3 linked regions of the Arabidopsis thaliana genome follow. The protein of the gene in region 2 binds, or shares a complex with, the protein of the main gene of each other region. Each region holds a gene or a part of one and is shown on either strand. Other genes may lie near its edges. The genes, in order: E2F1, MYB3R-3 and RBR1.

What was found.
Region 1: MYB3R-3 (region 2) and E2F1 share a complex: the UniProt entries of both Arabidopsis thaliana proteins name them as parts of the DREAM-like complex.
Region 3: MYB3R-3 (region 2) and RBR1 share a complex: the UniProt entries of both Arabidopsis thaliana proteins name them as parts of the DREAM-like complex.

Annotation. Positions count from the first base shown.
Region 1 is NC_003076.8:7,358,818-7,365,011, reverse strand, and holds E2F1 (E2F transcription factor 1), read right to left. Parts: upstream 4,478-6,194; 5' UTR 4,264-4,477; coding exon 4,081-4,263; intron 3,611-4,080; coding exon 3,448-3,610; intron 3,317-3,447; coding exon 3,260-3,316; intron 3,179-3,259; coding exon 3,093-3,178; intron 3,014-3,092; coding exon 2,925-3,013; intron 2,831-2,924; coding exon 2,776-2,830; intron 2,318-2,775; coding exon 2,265-2,317; intron 2,191-2,264; coding exon 2,140-2,190; intron 2,063-2,139; coding exon 2,014-2,062; intron 1,927-2,013; coding exon 1,861-1,926; intron 1,781-1,860; coding exon 1,707-1,780; intron 1,622-1,706; coding exon 1,351-1,621; intron 1,221-1,350; coding exon 1,151-1,220; intron 1,035-1,150; coding exon 892-1,034; 3' UTR 507-891; downstream 1-506. Other genes in the region: OFP10 (Ovate family protein), read right to left, coding at 1-323; AT5G22210 (aspartyl/glutamyl-tRNA (Asn/Gln) amidotransferase subunit B), read right to left, coding at 5,221-5,463. UniProt on the Arabidopsis thaliana protein: Transcription activator that binds DNA cooperatively with DP proteins through the E2 recognition site, 5'-TTTC[CG]CGC-3' found in the promoter region of a number of genes whose products are involved in cell cycle regulation or in DNA replication.
Region 2 is NC_003074.8:2,877,629-2,882,929, forward strand, and holds MYB3R-3 (myb domain protein 3r-3), read left to right. Parts: upstream 1-1,724; 5' UTR 1,725-1,905; coding exon of another isoform or gene 1,906-1,947; 5' UTR 1,948-2,189; coding exon 2,190-2,431; intron 2,432-2,543; coding exon 2,544-2,595; intron 2,596-2,692; coding exon 2,693-2,750; intron 2,751-3,038; coding exon 3,039-3,133; intron 3,134-3,216; coding exon 3,217-3,320; intron 3,321-3,396; coding exon 3,397-3,525; intron 3,526-3,623; coding exon 3,624-4,500; 3' UTR 4,501-4,727; downstream 4,728-5,301. Other genes in the region: AT3G09360 (Cyclin/Brf1-like TBP-binding protein), read left to right, coding at 126-215, 421-474, 562-804. UniProt on the Arabidopsis thaliana protein: Transcription factor that binds 5'-AACGG-3' motifs in gene promoters. Transcription repressor that regulates organ growth.
Region 3 is NC_003074.8:3,913,211-3,921,187, reverse strand, and holds RBR1 (retinoblastoma-related 1), read left to right. Parts: upstream 1-1,828; 5' UTR 1,829-2,300; intron 2,301-2,740; 5' UTR 2,741-2,754; coding exon 2,755-2,838; intron 2,839-2,953; coding exon 2,954-3,058; intron 3,059-3,144; coding exon 3,145-3,287; intron 3,288-3,366; coding exon 3,367-3,463; intron 3,464-3,549; coding exon 3,550-3,596; intron 3,597-3,863; coding exon 3,864-4,056; intron 4,057-4,187; coding exon 4,188-4,254; intron 4,255-4,340; coding exon 4,341-4,520; intron 4,521-4,620; coding exon 4,621-5,676; intron 5,677-5,771; coding exon 5,772-5,934; intron 5,935-6,032; coding exon 6,033-6,105; intron 6,106-6,226; coding exon 6,227-6,403; intron 6,404-6,496; coding exon 6,497-6,616; intron 6,617-6,698; coding exon 6,699-6,831; intron 6,832-6,923; coding exon 6,924-7,036; intron 7,037-7,144; coding exon 7,145-7,260; intron 7,261-7,342; coding exon 7,343-7,517; 3' UTR 7,518-7,839; downstream 7,840-7,977. Other genes in the region: AT3G12290 (Amino acid dehydrogenase family protein), read right to left, coding at 1-92, 201-413, 521-678, 852-1,035, 1,484-1,597. UniProt on the Arabidopsis thaliana protein: Key regulator of entry into cell division. Acts as a transcription repressor of E2F target genes, whose activity is required for progress from the G1 to the S phase of the cell cycle.

The sequences.
Region 1 (6,194 bases), on a different chromosome or scaffold from region 2:
AACGGATTGATTGATTCTTTAGCCATCGCGACGCTCTCATCGATCTTAGGACATGGGCTGCGTAAAACCGTGGGAGAAACCGGTGGTCCCGGGGTGTAGTGGCTGTGAGAGGAAGGTGGAACGGTAGAGCCGCAACCGCATGCCATAAAAATGGGTTTGAATATGGTTTTGAGTATATACTTCATCATCTTCTTGAAAGACATTTTTTTTTTTACTAGAGGAAGAGAAAACAAGTTGAGATTATTGAGTGAGGATGTTGGTGTGGGAAAGTTTGTTAAAAGAGGAACCTTTTTTTCATTTAACTTAGCTTGGAGATTCAGCATTGCTCATTGCTTTGGAGATGCACAATTTTGATGGATTTCTTTTTTAAGGAAAATAATACCATCTTGAGGTGAATTCAAAGTTATATATGATATCATTTGTAAGAAACTATCTCGAGTGATATCAAAGGATTGGACATAGAAACCGATTTGAACCAAAAAGAAATCTCTCAAACCACAACCGAACCAATATGTTTTCGTCAAGATTTTTGATGAACGGAAATATGTTTTAGTTTCGATCTGGTTACCTTTTTGGTAAACCGGAAATGGAGCATGTAAAACTACTAAGCACCCGTCTACAACTCTAAAAGGTTTTGCAGTTTCACATGAACAAGACCAATATTAAGAAATCAATGGGCTAAGGCTAATTCTATATTAAGCCTGAGAAGCTAACAAAGAAAAAAAATGAAGAATACAACGAAGGGGTTGGTTTCTCTACTTTTATTTTGCAATCTCTATTCTATGATAATGCAATGCAGCTACTGTACAAGTACAACATTAACTCTGGTTTCACCGAAATCAGATTCTATGTACAGATATATGGTGGTGCTTGTAATGTGGTATGGTAACTTCAGCTACCTGTAGGTGATCTCGTAGCAGTGGATTCTTCTGGTGTTGGGCTCGATGGAGTTTGTGGCTGCTCCAAGATTTTGTTGTCGCTCGGTCCAGCGTGGTCTTGATCAAATGTAATCATCTGGTTCCAGTCTGGTCCAGCTAATGATGAAAGAGTCAAGGAGCTCTAAACAGATATCATATTTGGGGAGGAAAAAACTCAAAAGCTCAAAGAGAGATTAGATTAAATCACAGAAAGTGATAGAAATCAAGGATACATTCATCTGGCCACATGTCTGTGATGCTGACTTCGCCTACCTCTGATCGAAACCAGTAATCTACACCCATCTGTATATAATGTAACATACAGGTAAATATGAATTAAGTCAAGCATGATTTTTTAGATATGGTTACTTTTCCAGACTGTGATTATGTACATTGGTGAAAATTTTAAGCTGAGGAAGCAGTTGGGACTTACATCCAAATCTGGAGGAACAATCTTCATGATACCATCGACAAAGTCATGAGATTCGATGTCAGAGTAAACTCTTTGCGTATCATCAACTTCCTGTGTTTCCATGTTTCTTTCGGTGCTTTCCTCTTTCATCGGCATAGATACATCATGGTTCTCAGGGAGACCAGATGTTGATGGAAGATTTGAAGGTACATCAGGGACATTAGAGGGTTCATCAGGAACATTTGAAGGTTCATCAGCCTGAGGAATGTCCTCAAAGCTCTCTTCGAATTGACTAAAAAAGCACAATATAAATGTCAGTCTCACTTCCATGTTACAGATTTATCCAGGGCAAGCATAACGTTTGAGGACAGTGTTACCTGACTAGGTACACGTCTATTGGTCCCATTGTGCTTCTCAGAATGATTCTGTACCTCCTCTGATAACCACCAGCCTGATTAATGGCAGGATAAGAGGTGAGAATCGTTACAGACAGTGCATCGCTCATTTGGTTTTGTGCGCTCTTAAGCTTACCTCATCAGGATCTGGAACCTCAAGAGTTGTTCCATGCGGTGCCTTTACAGCTATCAGCGTCTTATTCTAAAATAGGCACCACAAAAACATGTTTCCCCAGTGAGAAGAATGCAAGGCAAAGAGAAACACGTAATTACTAGAAGGAGACCAGACCTGGAAGCATGGTAGGTTCTTAATGTCGTTTTCAGTGACGAACAGTAACCTAAAAAGTGGAGCGTCAGAACAAACAGATATGTTTTATTGTACCTTTCGGCAGAAGAAATAGCAGGGGACGCTTACCTTTTGTTGTTTTCATCCTCACTCAAGCTTGTTAATCTTTCTTGTGATTCTCTGCAACCAGGTCGACTCTCAAAAAGATGATACAAAACAGCAGAAAAGGGAAGGAAAATTATCTGCGAAAATACCTGATTTGGTCATCTAATCTTGCCTCCTCAGCTGCGAGGTTTTGTACTTCATCCTGTAAGATTGGTAACAGGAATTATAAAACATGAATAGTTTTTCGAACCAAAAACCCAAAACAAGAAATCAATGCAAGTGACTGAGATCGAAGAAAAACTGCAGTACCAATTTCCACTTATTCAACAGGTTCAAACATAAAACAGAAACTCATCATTCAAAGGTGCCAGTACGGGTATACAAAACAGAGCTTGTGGTTACATGTCATCGATGTTTGTGTGTATGGTAAATTTACTAGTATCCTAGTTACCTCCTAACACATTTAGCTCTCAGAAAACAGGCATAACAAGAATCATACTAATGCAGATTCATACGATGTTCAAGAAGACAATGCAAGCTAAGATATACCCTTAACGTGAAAACAATAATAAAACTGGTGATAATACTGAGCATTGCATAACAGAGTTCGCAGTGAAATGTGCAATGAAAAGGTAAAGAATATATAGGCATGTTCTGTACCTGTAGGTTAGCTATGCTTTCGATTGTTTCTCCTGGTTTTGAGACATCGAGACCCCTAAGACAGACAAGAAAATTCAGAGTACTGTCGCTCACACATGAGTCATCAAATGGAAGGAATCCAAGATTTGACAGTTCTAAGACATGCTTACTTCCACTGAATCCTGTTCTTAAGCGTCTTCTCTATCAAACCTATTCCTTCTAACACATTGGTTATATCATATATCCTTCTCTTTTGTACCTGCATCAACAGGAACATACAGCTAAGTTTGACAGAAAGTAATACATCAATATGGGAGTCTAGAGTTCAAATATGTCACCTCTAAAGTATCAGCTGCTTTGTTTAGATCAAGAATACCATCCTCTGCTTGTTTTATCAAATTGATAAATTTCTTTGTCAAAAGACCTGAAGCAGATTAAATCATTAAAAAAACTTATTATCCAAAAGTACATTTTTTAAACATTAGTTAATGAAATAAGTTATTACCTAACGAACTATCATATCGACAAGTACCGGCCTGTGCAAAGTTATTTCCAGGAGAACCTGCCAACACAAAAGATCCTTCTCACTACATTGCAATATCTCCACTCTTTAAAGAAGATTTAGCTCAGATGAGCACATAAGAAATATTTCTCATTGGCATACTAACACAGAGCATTTAGAACCAAACTCACCTGCATTAGAGCCAGAAGCTAGCGTTCCAGACTTATTAGACTTCGCAGACCTAGAAGTTTTCTTGGCTTTCCCCCCTTTCCCTGATACAGGTGTTTGAAGAACACCGGTATTCAATTCATTGACCTCAACTATTTGGTTTACCAAATCTGTCTTACGCTTCAGCTGCCAATAAAGTCACCAAAATTGAACAGTTAAATACATCAACGAATTGAACAGAATCAAATCCTATCAGCATCATACTGTCACTATGCTGAAATCTAAAAGCATAGACACAACTTTTACCAATTCCAACATAGCAAAATTCAGAAACTAATTTAACTAAACATAAACACAAAAGTGCATGAATCTGCTCTAAATAGCAATAACAGTAACACCACAAACCCTAAGTCCAGCAACTAAACTACTCAATAAGTACTTGCAATGCTAATTCCAATACTACAAACAAGGTTAATCAAAAGAGACCAAACGCAATTAACACCAACAGAAGCAGATCCCGACACAATTCTCATCAAAATCTAAAGCAACGACATCATCAAAATCATAATCAATAAAACCAAACCTCACACACAATCGAAAACACGAGAATTATAAAGCAAAATTCACAAGCAAAATTGAGAAGAAAAAAGACTTACAGTAGATTTGATCACAATCGCGTCAGAGACAACCTGATCAGCAACAGCTCCACCACCGCGAGTCTCCGCCGCATCAAACCGGTGATACTCACCAGGAGCAACTAGAGGAGGCTTCATAGAAGAAAGAGAAGGATGAAGCTGCCGCTTAGAAGATGGGAATTGTTGAGGTACTTCTTCAGACATAAGAACGAATCTCGATAAAAAATCCCCCAAAAAAAAAAAGAAACGGCGAAAATTGTCACGGAAACTCGGATCTCCGGTAAGCAGAGATCCCAATAACGATTAAGAAGCAGATCTACGGCGGGAATTACGGAGATTCCGGGAAGAGAATGTGAAGAGATCGGCGAATCGAAAAAAAGCGGGAGAGGAGAAGAAGATGAAGAAGAGGAAGGATTATAAAAAAAAAAAAAAAAAGAGACGGTGGAAGAGGAAGAGAGAAAACGAGGGAATGAGTTGCGTTTGGTTCTGAATACTGATGTGGAGGGAATTAGCGCTCTTTATCTCTCTCTTTGTACACAAATCTTTTTACCAATATCTCTCTACTAAATAATAATAATCCTATTTTTATATATAATACAAAATTATAAAATTTTAAGTAAGTTTTTTTTTTTTTAAAGTCAACGAAGTTAATAAAGCTATGTAACTAATTTGGATACAGTTTTATTTCCTTGAGATTGAGGGGAAAAAAATGAATTTTGGATTTATTCATGTTAAGAAGTGGAGCATAATAATTTCATCAAACTGTTGCAGCATCCGTTACACGCGTTAAGTGTGAGCAATTATCGTCAAAATCTGTCGAACTTATACGTTTTTTTGTTTTTAATTCATAGGTGAGGCAAAACTATATTGATGAAAATTATGCTCATGAGTGTCTCATCATTTAACAACTTTTTTAAATGGAACCTCGAAACATAGGGATTCCAAATCATAGCACCAAGACAATAGAAACATGTGTCGTCTGAATGCAGACACTTGGATCTCTTATGAATGCTATACTGTTTAGAGAAGATAATATATATTTATAGACTGAGCTTCCAAAACACAAGCTTTAAGTATGACTGTATGAGTAATCAAAAAAGATACTAAGACTTTGAAAGCTTCATACATAACAAACAGAGACAACAATAGAAGAACCCCTTTTTACTTGAACAAATGGGCAAGATCAGGGTCATCTAAATCTACATCAAGCGATCCATTTAACCGCATAAACTCGATGTAGCTATCTGGAGGAGTGATCGCACGAGTGTTGTTCTTCGGTTTGAATCCATGAACTCTCTGGAGATCTCTTGCGAGCCAACGCAGAAAAACTTTGTCCAATGGAGGTACAATCTTCAAATGGATCTCTTCGCGTTCTTCTTTCACCGTTGTAGCTTTGTTTCCCATCTTGCAAAACCCGATCTTTACATACATCATATATAGTATCGTCACATTGTCCAAACCACAAAAACAAGTTATCTAGTCAACAAGATGATTATGCAACACTTTTAGCAGATGCATTTTGGGATTAACACTTAACACAATCTATAATTTCTCCATGCACACCAATATTGCAAGTGTGTAACATTTACATGTTCGGATGCAAATTATCTCGTGAATAACACAATCGTCAATTCGTCATAACCATCTAAAAGGAGAGACTAAAAAGTTCTATAGAAGCTATACACTAACCTTAAGGACCATCAAAACCTTAATTAAGAGACCAAACTATTATACATCAACCAAGTAATCATCTCAGCGTCCATTTTTAAAGCTATCTTTGTTCCACTATGTCCAAGAATCATAAGATCCTCGAGCAAATAAATTGTACAAGATGAGACATCTATGAACCACCAATTCAAGGTCAATTCTTCAAGATGATTAACATGATAATATCAATTAGAAATCAACTCATTCATGAATACTAAGTCTACATTTAAAACCCCTAAATCAATGAGAAAACTGGAGAAATTACTTCAAATTTCTATCATCACTATATACCCAAAAAATCAGGTAAAATCCTAGCCAGCAAATTAAGCTTAGCGATATGATATAGATTCAAGAGATTTTACCTTTTTCAATCAGAGAGACAAAACATCAGAAACCGAAAGTGAGTCGAAGAATTTCTGACCAGACAG
Region 2 (5,301 bases):
TCAGTTTGAACTTTGAAATTATGTTCCTGATCAAGCATCTGACTTTTGGAGAATAACATGATACCCATTGATGACATATGGTTTCTCAATCAATTTCTGATTCTTTTTTCTCTCTCTTCATATAGGAAAAGCAACAAAAAAAAGCTGAGGAAGCAAAGAACGCGGCTCCTCCAGCCACAGCAGTGGAGGCGGTACGCCGAACGCTTGATAAAAAGGTTAGAATGTCAGCTTCTTTGATACCTTGATACTTGAAAACGAATATGCAAAAAAAGATAAACCGAGTATGCCATGTATCATCTGTTAAAAACCTGGCCTGGAAGTACATAGTCAACAACATGGCTGTCGAAATTATTAGCATTGAAGAAACTTTAGAGTCTGTGTTTCTTCCTTTTTCCTGATTTTGAGTGTTGACTCTTACAGAGACTTAGTTCGGTGATCAACTACGATGTTTTGGAGTCGCTATTTGATACATCCGTAAGTTTTTGATTACCTCTTCTTGTATCCTCAATTCTCATCACTTTTTGAGGTCTTTACAATTTTGCTTCTCTTTTCTTCTTTCAGGCACCTGAGAAATCACCCAAGAGGTCGAAAACAGAGACAGACATTGAGAAGAAGAAGGAAGAGAACAAGGAAATGAAGAGTAATGAACATGAGAATGGTGAAAATGAAGATGAAGATGAAGAGGATGAAGAAGAAGGCAATGTAGAATCATACGACATGAAGACAGATTTTCAAAACGGCGAGAAATTCTATGAAGAGGACGAGGAAGAAGAAGAGGATGGTAATGATTTTGGATTGTATTGATGATATGTATTGTGAAACACAAGAGTTTTAATTTCTTTTGTTTTGCCGGATTAGTTGATTTTATTTGCATTAATATAGGAGAACCCCAACTAAATTTATTCTTTATTATCAGTAACAAATATTTAAGATTTAAAAGAAAAAAAAGTTCACACAAATGATCTATTTATTTTTACAATTCAAGTGGTACTGACTAAGAAATGAAAAACCACTAACTTAATTAATTTAATAAAATCTATATGTATTTAATTTTGATAATTTTATTTTCCTTGTTTATGATAATTCTAATTTCTATCAGATAACAACTAACAATCACTGAACTTATCTCACCTATTTGATGAGCTAAATGTATTTTAAATTTATTTTTCTATAAAGATATAACTGAAACAAAAGTGATGACTTTTTATGAAAATTCCCAAAATCAAATACCAGAAAATTCAATTTTAAACAAAATGTGTCGGTCCGGATGATCTTACATCTAGCTTGGTTTTACAGGATAGTATTTAAGAAGAATCATAAAGTTCATCTCAAACCAAATCCGACGGTCCAGAGTCACCTGCAAAGCTTGGCATCGTATACGTGTTCAGTGGTCAACGGATCAGCTACGAGTGCCGTTTGAGGTTCAAACTTCTGTTTCTGAGGTTAACTCTCTACCGTTAACGTCCGTTAGTGTACCTTCTAACCTTGACGACTTTTCCACTTTCCAAAAGATAACGACGGCGTTAAATTGGTCTATTTTACTGAACCAGCTTTAACCAGAATTAGATTGCATTACATTCAACTCGTGCTTATGGATAAATATCAGTTCGGTTTGGAGAAAATAGGTTACTTAAGGTAAAAAGAACGGCAAGTAACGGTGTGACGTCAGCAGAAGAAGTATTCGTTATAATAGTGAGAGAGAGAGAGATAAAACTTAGGGAACCCTTTTTTATGTTTTATTTTCTCGCTTTGTTTCGATCAAGTCTTCTCTTTCTCTCTCTATCCCTCTCTCTCTGGTTCAACGGGCAAAGTATTTTTCGAATAAAGTTTTGGTTTTTTTTTTAACGTTCCTTTCGCCTTCTTTCTTCTTCTTCTGCTGGTGAATTCGTGTATCTATCTATCTCGATGAGCTCCACTTTTAATCCAGCCGCTTCTTCTCCAGATGAGGTTAGTTTTTGTGTATCGAATCTGAATTTTTAAGGGTTTTGTTCTTGTGATCAGATTCTAGTGAAATTGAGTTCTTTGTTGTTTGGCTCTGATTCGAAACGAATTTAACTTTATTGAAACTATAAATTTTTGTGATTACAATTGTTATAAACCCTAATTTTGCTGTGGTTGGTGTTAATGTTGAGCTGTTTACTGAATTCGTGATTTGTGAGATCTGGGTTCTGTCTGCTTTGTGTTTTACGATGATTGCTTTTTTAGGGTTTCTCTGTTTCTTATCAAAGTCTGGATCTTTTTTTTCTTTCATTGAGATGATGGATCTTCAGGAAGAAACAGGTGAAGTGAAAATTGAGGATCAGTGTGTAGAAAATAAGCAATCAACACCTGCTTCGTGCTCTTCTGTATCTGAAGGCAGTGCTGGTAGTTCCCACAAGTCACCTACAATTGCAAGTCCTGCCACAGTATCACCTACTCATAGGTACCTCGGGTTAGTTCGTCTCCTTCTTCTTCTTCCTTGTTTTGTATCTCCTCCGCAGCACTCGTTTGCGAATTTGCATCTTTTCTACAAGAGATTGATGTTGATAGTGTTTGGTATGCAGGAGGACGAGTGGCCCTATAAGGCGAGCCAAAGGTGGGTGGACTCCGGAAGAGGTTAGTATTGAGTATTGACTAGTGATTGCTTTTGACCAATATCAATTTTGGATCAGTAGTTCGAAATTCAAGATGTGAGTTGTTTTACTTAATGCAGGATGAGACATTGAGACAAGCAGTTGACACGTTTAAAGGCAAGAGCTGGAAGAACATAGGTAAGTCTCTTCTTCTTTTTAGATTCTAGTTCTCATATTAACAAGAGTAATGTCAGTGCTACAACATACTCCATAGATTTGTGGTTCGAATATTAAAGTTGGAGCCTACTTGCTTACAGTAACTATTAGTTCCATACTCTTGTCTCTGTAGTTTTATGAGTTACTCTTGTATGTTAACTTGATCATCTGAGGCTGAGCATCTAGTAGAAAGACTTTCTTTTACGTTTGTTTCCGTTTTGTTCCGTGAAGCATTTAGTATTGTTTGAATTGGTGTATTCATTTTTGCAGCGAAATCTTTCCCTGATAGAACTGAAGTTCAATGCCTGCATCGGTGGCAGAAAGTTCTAAATCCAGACCTTATTAAGGGACCTTGGACACATGAGGTTGATTCTGTTTCTGATTTTATTTATTATTTGGCTTCATTTTTTATGTGAAATACGAAGGCTTAAAGTTTGTTGTTTTGCAGGAGGATGAGAAAATCGTTGAACTGGTTGAAAAATACGGGCCTGCGAAATGGTCTATTATCGCACAGTCTTTACCAGGTCGAATTGGGAAGCAATGCCGAGAGAGGTAGTTAATTCATATGAGCCAAGCATTTTTCTTATAGTTATATTGGAAGCTTTAATGTGTTTTGATATGTATGCAGGTGGCATAACCATTTGAATCCTGATATTAACAAGGATGCTTGGACCACAGAGGAAGAAGTAGCTCTCATGAATGCTCATCGAAGCCACGGAAACAAATGGGCTGAAATTGCTAAGGTCTTACCCGGCAGGTATTTTTACTTTTCTTGGCATGCGTCATTGGAGTTGAGACTTTAGAGAAGGGTTAGCTTCTGGGTTTAATGAAGGTTTTACTTAAAACTTGCTGCAGGACTGATAATGCAATAAAGAACCATTGGAATAGTTCATTGAAAAAGAAGTCAGAATTCTACTTATTGACTGGTAGGTTACCACCACCAACAACAACAAGGAATGGTGTTCCTGATAGTGTAACCAAACGTTCATCGTCTGCTCAGAAAAGGGTTTTTGGTTCAGTTGCTCAAACCTCATCAGTAACTACAGATGTAAACAATCTCGCTGAAGACGGAAATGGCCAAATAAACTCATCTGTTCCTGTCGAAGAAGTAGTAGCTGCTTCACGAATGACTAGTCTTAATGAGTATGCTCGTTCTCCTCAGTTGCCTAACCCAGAGCCATTGCCAGAGAATGGTGGAGCTGCAAATAATGGTTATCATCTGTACTACACGCCTCAAATAGACTATTACAGGGCGTCAGAAGTGGATACGCAGCGTATGTATGGGAATGAATGTGGTTGCAGTCCAAGCGCATCACCAGTTAGCTTCTTCACTCCACCGCCGTGTAGGAATGTGCACAGTAACGGTTCGACTCCAAGAAGTCCTGAATCTTACCTGAGAGAAGCTGGTAGAACTTACCCAAACACACCATCCATATTCAGGAAAAGACGACCCAGGGTTGTTGTTCAGGATAACAACAACGCCAAGAAAACAGATGAAGCTAAAGAGGTTGATCAAAAGGTGAATGATGGTAAGGATAGTTCAGAGATTCAAAATAATGGATCAAATGCTTACAATCTATCTCCTCCATATCGGATAAGATCGAAAAGGACAGCAGTTTTCAAATCAAGACAGCTTGAGTTTATATCTAGAGAGGAAGAGAAAGCTGATGATGAAACCAAATCATCTGAGAAAGATATGTTGATTGATGGAGATTCTCAACTCCTAGGCTAAACAGTGACTAGATGATTACACGCTGAATGTTGTTTCATTGGTTATATTTTTATTTTTGGGTTAATGTTAGAGATGTTAGATGTATTTAGTCCAAAGAATAATTTACACCTCATAGTTGAGCTAGGTTTTTTTTTTCCATAACAAAAAAAAGATCTTCAGTAGTGGGCCATAGAAATTGGTGCATGTTCTTGATTATTTGATTGATATGCGTCTTTGATTATTTGAACATTGAATCATTCGTTCACCGATGTGAACAATATCACTCTGCTTTGAATTTTTTTCTAAATAGACTTTATGATGTCATTATTCAAACGGGTAGGTAATTTACAAATCATAAGATAGTTTCACATTGACAAAAGTGTTTTAGATCAAATCAGCTATATTCTTTGGCAACTCGTCAATCTGAGTACTGTAGTACTGCTCAATGTCCCGGAGAATCTTGATCTCGTCGATTTTAACAAAGTTGATTGCAACACCCTTACGTCCGAAACGACCAGACCGTCCAATACGATGAATGTAGAGCTCACGGTTGTTAGGGAGATCATAATTGATGACAAGAGAAACTTGATCCACATCAATCCCACGTGCAAACATATCTGTTGTGATCAAAACGCGACTTTCACCTGTCCGAAACTGATTCATGATCTCGTCTCTCTCCTTCTGAGGCATGTCCCCATGCATTGATGAGACAGTGAAGTTGCTGCTCCTCATTTTCTCACTAATATAGTCCACTTTTCGTTTTGTGTTGCAGAAGATAACAGCTTTAGTGATGATAAGTGTGTCGTAAAGATCACATATTGT
Region 3 (7,977 bases), 1.0 Mb from region 2:
AACCGGTATCCTGATTTCTTGCTCGGGTCGCTGACTGCATTAGTTCCAACATCAATTACTGCAGCCCCTGGCTTTATCCAGTTGCCCTTAATCTGAAATGTCAAAACGATAGTATATTTGAATTGTAAACTATTCACATTGATCTACAAGAGGTAGACTAAATTATCTTCTAAATGACAATGAAAATGTATGAAAATCACCATGTGGGCTTGTCCGCATGCAGCAATAACAATGTCAGCTTCCCGTATGATAGCCTCAGGATCCTTGGTGTGAGAATGTACAGTTGTGACAGTAGCATCAGCCTTGAGCAAAAGAAGTGAAACGGGCAAACCAACAATGTTACTCCGACCTACAACAACTGCTCGTTGCCCCTTTATCTTTACGCCGCTTCTAGCTAGGAGTTCCAAACATCCCTGCACACACAGAAAATCACCTCATAGTTGATACAGAAGAAAAACAGAACACTGAGATTTCTCGCTTGAAAGAGACTGAAGTCTATATGCAAAAAAAGGAGAAGTACCTTTGGGGTGCAAGGAAGGAAGAGGGGTTCTCTGCCTTTCATGGCTAGCTTACCAATATTCAAAGGATGGAAGCCATCGACATCTTTATCAATGCTGATTGCACCCAATATATGCTCCTCATTAATATGTTTCGGCAATGGGAGTTGAACTAATATGCCTGCAAATCAAACACCAAAGCTTATATAAGCACAGGAGAGCAAGGAATGTTTGCTTTATACCAAAACGAAAGACTTGCATAGACATTAAAGTTTCTATCTATCCTTAATAGTTTAGACTAATGATAACCGAGAAGACATACAAAATCAAGTATTATTTACCGCCACAACTAACCATGGACATCCGGATTTGAATTTAGTTCATGAACTTTGCTAATAAGATCAGCTTCAGAAACTTCCTCTGGTAGGCCCACGTCAAATGACTTAATCCCAACCTCAGCGCACGCTTTCCTCTTCGTATTCACATAGGTCTGTGAATCCTTTCGGCTCCCAACAATAACTACAGCTAGTCCTGGGACCTGCATGAAGGTAAAATCAGATTCGATTGAATCTCGTACATTCTTGAAACTATATAAAGGGGTCCAACTGAAGCAACTGAACAAACGCACTAAACCATTTATTACACATACTCTCGTTCCTTCTATTTTATTACAATGATATCAAACATTATAAGCTTAGCACACACTATCTGTATAAATAAGATAGTATGCCACTTGAAGTAATGCAGGCAGCTCAAAAATCCAGCGAAACAAAATAACAGTGATCTAACTAAAATGGAGCTTACATTTGACCCTGTTAAGCATTTTCAATAGAAGGTTGTGATCATAGCTGCTTAAATCTAGTCATTTTAAACCATAAAGCTAAAAGAGAGTAAATTTTCAATAGTGCTATCATCTTATAAAAGAACGGAGAATTATAAGGAGAGACATGTCAAGATTAGGACACTGATTCATAAGATGCGTTTACCTTGCCGTGTTTCTCAGATAGACCGCGAACTTCCTCGGCGATCTCTGATCTGATGGTATGAGCAATCGCCTTGCCGTCGATTATCTTCGCCGTGTGATCAGATGATGACGCCATGAGCCACTAGGAATTTGCCTCGTGTCGGAAATATCTAATTCTCTCTCTGGATCCACTCACACTCGAAGATGACGAAGAAGACTTAATCTGAATCCATCCGCGGATAGGACACTCATACTTCTGCAACCAAACGTTCTACAATGGCAAATATGTAATTTCCCGCGTGACCTAAACTAGAAACGGCATCGTATTAAGGGTGGGCCCAATCATAACTCACACGAGGCTTTGTCGCGGTCACGAAAACCCAGACGGCGTTAATGGCCCACTCCGTTTGTTTCGACCCCGCCGTGACGGCGAATCTTTCCCTCTCAGCGTTTCACGCAACAGTAAGTAAGTTTTGGCGGTAAAATTGGGTCACAGATGGGTACGTGTCGATTTAATAGTGGTTGAAAGCGCGCGAATATAATTGTATACGTATGTGTATGTATTCTCCGTGTTGTTTTTCCCGCGCGAGATATATCCTTTTTTAGGGTTTGCCGCATAATCAGACCCCATTCTAGAGAGAGAAGAGGGAAGTCAGGTGAAGATAGAGAGAGACACTGAGAGGAGGGAAAATTTGTAGGGTTTTCGGAGATCTCTGTGATTCCTCTGAATTTGTCGAATTTTTTGGAGGAGGCGTTAGAAGTCGGGCTTCTTAAAAATCAGATCTTCTGCTCAGGCTTTAATCGGCGACGTCTGGTATTGGGATCTGTGACACAAAAAGGTAAGATCTTTCTCTATTGCCTATCCTTTGATTTGAAATCTTATCCTCTAGGTGGTTTATCTGAAATTTTCTATTGATATTTCGCTATTCGATTGTAAGTTGGTGAGAGAATTCTCCAAAAACAAAAAAGAGAAAAACTTTGAATGAATATTTAAGATAACATCTGGGTAAAATTTTTCCGGAGTGGTGGGTTTTAGATTATGCCCCAATTTCTCTTCTTTTTTTCCCCCAAATTTTGTCTTTCTGCCATGTTTTGGGAAATTGGGAGTTTGTTTTCTCATGTCTGTTAGTGTGTTCTTCCGAATGGGTTGGGCATGGTTCCTATTGAATTTCAGTGTGATTAAATTAACAAATCTCTTTGCTTGAAAAGTCCCTTTTTCTTCGTCTTCAGTTAGCAGTTTAATTGGAAGTAAAATTAGCTTGATTTTGCATGTTTTCAGCTGCGTTGGAGACTATGGAAGAAGTTCAGCCTCCAGTGACCCCGCCCATTGAACCAAATGGGAAAAGAAGCGAAGCCTCTCTCTTGGACATATGCGAGGTTTACTCTTCTCTTTGCTGATCTAGTTGCATTTGTTTAGTTGAAGATACCATTTGAGTTCTCTCGGAAATTTTGAGGACTAGCTCTAATCCCTGTAGTTGATTTCTTATTGCAGAAAGTTCTGTCTCTTGATGGGAGCACTTGCGATGAAGCTTTGAAGTTGTTTACAGAAACCAAACGAATTTTGTCAGCAAGCATGTCTAACATTGGAAGTGGAACGGTGAAATACATTTTTCCTCTAACTTCTCTTTTATCAGTTAACTGTGGTTTCATTATGACTAAATCCTTTTTTCTTCTTCTTATTAGCGGGAAGAAGTAGAGAGGTTCTGGTTTGCGTTTATTCTCTATTCAGTGAAGAGGCTTAGTGTGAGAAAAGAAGCGGATGGTCTGTCAGTGTCTGGTGATAATGAGTTTAATCTATGTCAGATACTGAGGGCTCTGAAGCTAAAGTAAGTAGTGTTCAATTCTTCCTTCCTTGTCATTCTTAAATTCATTTGTAGTGACGATTTTCCTCTTTTCTGTTTATAGTATTGTGGATTTTTTTAAAGAGTTACCTCAGTTTGTGGTCAAGGCTGGATCTGTACTGGGTGAACTTTACGGCGCAGACTGGGAGAACAGACTTCAGGTTTTGACTAACATCTTTTAAATATACTTCTACTTCTATTATATCATTGTTAAATATGCTTCTATTAACTAATTTTTACTTACTAGGCAAAGGAGGTGCAGGCTAACTTTGTGCATCTTAGCCTTCTAAGCAAGTGAGTTTAGCTCCCTTCCTATTTTACATTTATCTTTGTTTTGTGTAAGAATAGTTATTGACATAGATTTCATATTTTGGACCTGCAACTTAGAAGCAAATTTTCTTCCTATGCAATAATCAGAATATGGGCTTGCAATATTCCTTCAATTTTAAATTAATTAAGATTTAGAGTTACAGATTTCTGGTTTTCATGTGATTATATTCTGTGAATTGTTTTAAGGACATGTTAAAGTATGATGTTTTTGGTACCTTTCCTTGGTAACAGATACTACAAACGTGGGTTCCGGGAATTCTTTTTGACATATGATGCAAACGCAGAAAAGAACTCAGCAAACTCTTCTACCTATTTGCTGGATAGTTATCGTTTTGGATGGCTACTCTTTTTGGCACTCCGAAACCATGCGTTTAGTCGATTTAAGGACCTCGTGACATGCTCAAATGGCGTAGTTTCTATATTGGTTAGTGACTACCTGTGGAGCTCTCCCTAATCTTTCATTCATTTTAGTCTTGCTGTACATTATTACTTGAAAGATGCTTCGTTTAATATAACGCAATTGAAGTATAGGCTAACTCCTTTTCATGTTATCAGGCTATTTTGATCATACATGTTCCTTGTCGGTTTAGAAATTTCAGCATCCAAGATTCTTCTCGCTTTGGTGAGTGTTTATCTTTTCTTCTATCCCGATAACCATGGCACCATAGAATGTTTATCATCTATTTTCATTTATGTGATGAATCTCAGTTAAGAAAGGTGACAAAGGTGTAGACTTGGTTGCATCACTTTGCAAGATATATGACGCCTCAGAAGATGAGTTGAGGATAGTAATTGACAAGGCAAATAATTTGGTAGAAACCATACTGAAGAAAAAGCCATCTCCAGCATCTGAGTGCCAAACTGACAAGCTAGATAATATTGACCCAGGTTGGTCTAAAATCATTTTCCTTCTTCAATTAAAGAATCATGTGAGTTCATTGAACAGTTGCCTGATTGTTCTTCGAATCTATATGGTGTTTTACTGCAGATGGCTTGACCTACTTTGAGGATTTACTGGAAGAGACGTCCATCTCAACTAGCTTAATTACACTTGAAAAGGATTACTATGATGGTAAAGGCGAACTTGATGAGAGGGTATTCATCAATGAAGAGGATAGCTTACTTGGATCTGGAAGCTTATCTGCAGGAGCTGTTAATATTACTGGTGTTAAGAGGAAAATTGATGCTTTGAGCTCACCTGCAAGGACATTTATAAGCCCACTTTCTCCTCATAAGTCGCCTGCTGCTAAGACAAATGGTATTAGCGGTGCTACCAAGTTGGCAGCAACACCAGTGAGCACAGCAATGACAACTGCCAAGTGGCTCAGGACTGTCATATCCCCGCTTCTGCCAAAACCTTCTCCTGGGTTGGAACATTTCCTTAAATCATGTGATAGGGATATAACAAATGACGTCACACGAAGAGCACACATAATATTGGAAGCTATTTTCCCAAATAGTTCCCTTGGTGCCCAATGTGGAGGTGGAAGTTTGCAAGCTGTTGACCTGATGGATGACATATGGGCAGAGCAGCGCAGATTAGAAGCTTGTAAGTTATACTACAGAGTTCTTGAGGCAATGTGTAAAGCAGAAGCTCAGATTTTGCATGCAAATAATCTGAACTCTTTATTGACAAATGAGAGGTTCCATAGATGCATGCTTGCTTGCTCAGCTGAATTGGTACTGGCTACCCACAAAACAATTACAATGTTGTTCCCAGCTGTTCTGGAGAGGACTGGGATCACAGCCTTTGATCTCAGCAAGGTAATTGAGAGTTTCATACGACATGAAGATTCTCTGCCTAGAGAGTTGAGACGACATCTGAATTCACTGGAGGAACGGCTTCTAGAGAGTATGGTATGGGAGAAAGGCTCTTCAATGTACAATTCTCTGATTGTTGCCAGGCCATCGCTTGCATTGGAGATAAATCAGCTCGGTTTACTAGCTGAACCAATGCCATCTCTGGATGCAATCGCAGCACTTATTAATTTCTCTGACGGAGCAAATCATGCATCATCTGTACAAAAGCATGAAACTTGTCCAGGTAGTTTTATTTGTTTCTGAATTAAAGCAGTTTTCCAACCTGTTGTTAATGGTATGATTTTCTTACCAAAAATTGTCAAATTTGCTGCCATATAGGACAAAATGGGGGGATTAGATCGCCCAAAAGATTATGTACTGATTACCGCAGCATTCTAGTTGAACGCAATTCCTTTACATCACCAGTAAAGGATCGTCTGTTGGCCTTAGGCAACGTTAAATCCAAGATGCTGCCACCTCCGTTGCAGTCTGCATTTGCCAGGTACATTTTGAGTAACTATGAGTAGAAATGGAGAGTTAGTTTACCTATCTAGTTGTCCCTGTACTTGTTAAGTAACCTCTTCGGATTTATGTCTACAGCCCAACACGGCCCAACCCAGGAGGTGGAGGAGAAACTTGTGCAGAAACTGGAATCAATATTTTCTTCACAAAGGTAGGTCTGTGAGATCTTTGGATCTACTACTAATCGTTTGGTTAGATGATGTACTACAAAACACGGTATTGATTCTTCATTTTCGGCTGGGAATTGTGTTAAATGTGGTGGCTCTTCCCAGATTAATAAATTGGCTGCTGTAAGAATCAATGGAATGGTGGAAAGACTACAACTTTCACAGCAAATAAGGGAGAGTGTGTATTGTTTCTTCCAACATGTACTTGCTCAGCGGACTTCTCTTTTATTCAGTCGACACATTGACCAGATCATTCTCTGTTGCTTCTACGGAGTGGCCAAGGTGAGTAGTGTGATTCAAAGGGTTTAACTATATGTCATCTGGTTTACAATGGCTTCTCTTACACTTACACTTTTTCCATGAATCACCTTGTAGATATCCCAAATGAGCCTGACTTTCAGGGAAATCATATACAACTACCGGAAGCAACCACAGTGTAAACCATTAGTTTTCCGCAGCGTTTATGTGGATGCGTTACAATGTCGCCGTCAAGGGGTATATATACACTCTTAACCTTATGCTGAAAAGTTTCTTTACTCGGTGGAGAAGACTAAATTTGTGACAATGACTTGAACAGAGAATAGGGCCAGATCATGTTGACATCATCACATTCTACAATGAAATATTTATTCCTGCCGTAAAGCCGCTGCTGGTGGAGCTAGGTCCTGTAAGAAACGACCGGGCTGTGGAAGCCAATAATAAGCCTGAAGGTAGTTAAGAAAGGCCAGATACTTGTTAGATGTAAGCTTTGTCTATCAATTTAGTCCCTAAGTTAAATGATCGTCTTATTTTGGATTCACAGGTCAATGTCCCGGATCGCCAAAGGTGTCTGTGTTTCCAAGTGTTCCAGACATGTCCCCTAAAAAAGTATCTGCAGTGCACAATGTTTATGTTTCTCCTCTTCGGGGATCAAAGGTAAAGAAGATCATAGTGCTTAACTCTTTATCATGATATGACTAAGTCTTGAGGAGGAGGTAGGTGACAAGATTGTTTGGTTACCTTCCATGTGTTGTGTGTTTGCAGATGGATGCTCTTATTTCACACAGTACAAAGAGTTACTATGCTTGTGTTGGAGAGAGTACACATGCTTACCAGAGCCCTTCAAAGGACCTATCTGCCATCAACAACCGCTTGAACAAGTAAGTAGAAAAATCACGTCTCTCATCAGCTTCTTCCATAAAACCAATCACTGACCCAATCCAATTTCATCTGGTGTCACAGCAGCAGCAGCAACCGCAAGAGGACGCTAAACTTTGACGCAGAAGCAGGGATGGTCAGCGATTCCATGGTAGCAAATAGCCTTAACCTCCAAAACCAAAATCAAAACCAAAATGGAAGCGATGCATCGTCCTCAGGTGGTGCCGCACCCCTTAAAACCGAGCCAACAGATTCATAGATATCTCTCTCTACTTGCTACACCAACTTCTCTTCAGTTATAGCATCTGTAAATCCTTATGTTGCAGAGTTTGCTTTTATGTTTAGCTTTCTAGTTTATAGTGATCACCTCAGGCTATGAGCGGATGGATCCCTTTATTGTTTCTTTTTTCTTTTTTTATCTTAGTTAAGTCAGTCTTAATAAGCATTAATAAATGTCTTTTTCTTGTTCACTCTTTCTAACTGTGTTCGGTGTCCCATCTACTAAATTTATTTTCCACTTTAAAAAAAAACAATTTGTGACATTTACTTAACTTGGAACATATACAGTACAGTTAAGCAATTAACTATAACCAACAAATTGTCTGAACAATTGTCTGTCTTACCTTTTTAGCTCTCTATAAATTTACGCCGCAAAACAACACTTTATGTCGATTTCAGAATAACTTACTACTCCAGCATATTTCTCAAAACTTTCTCAA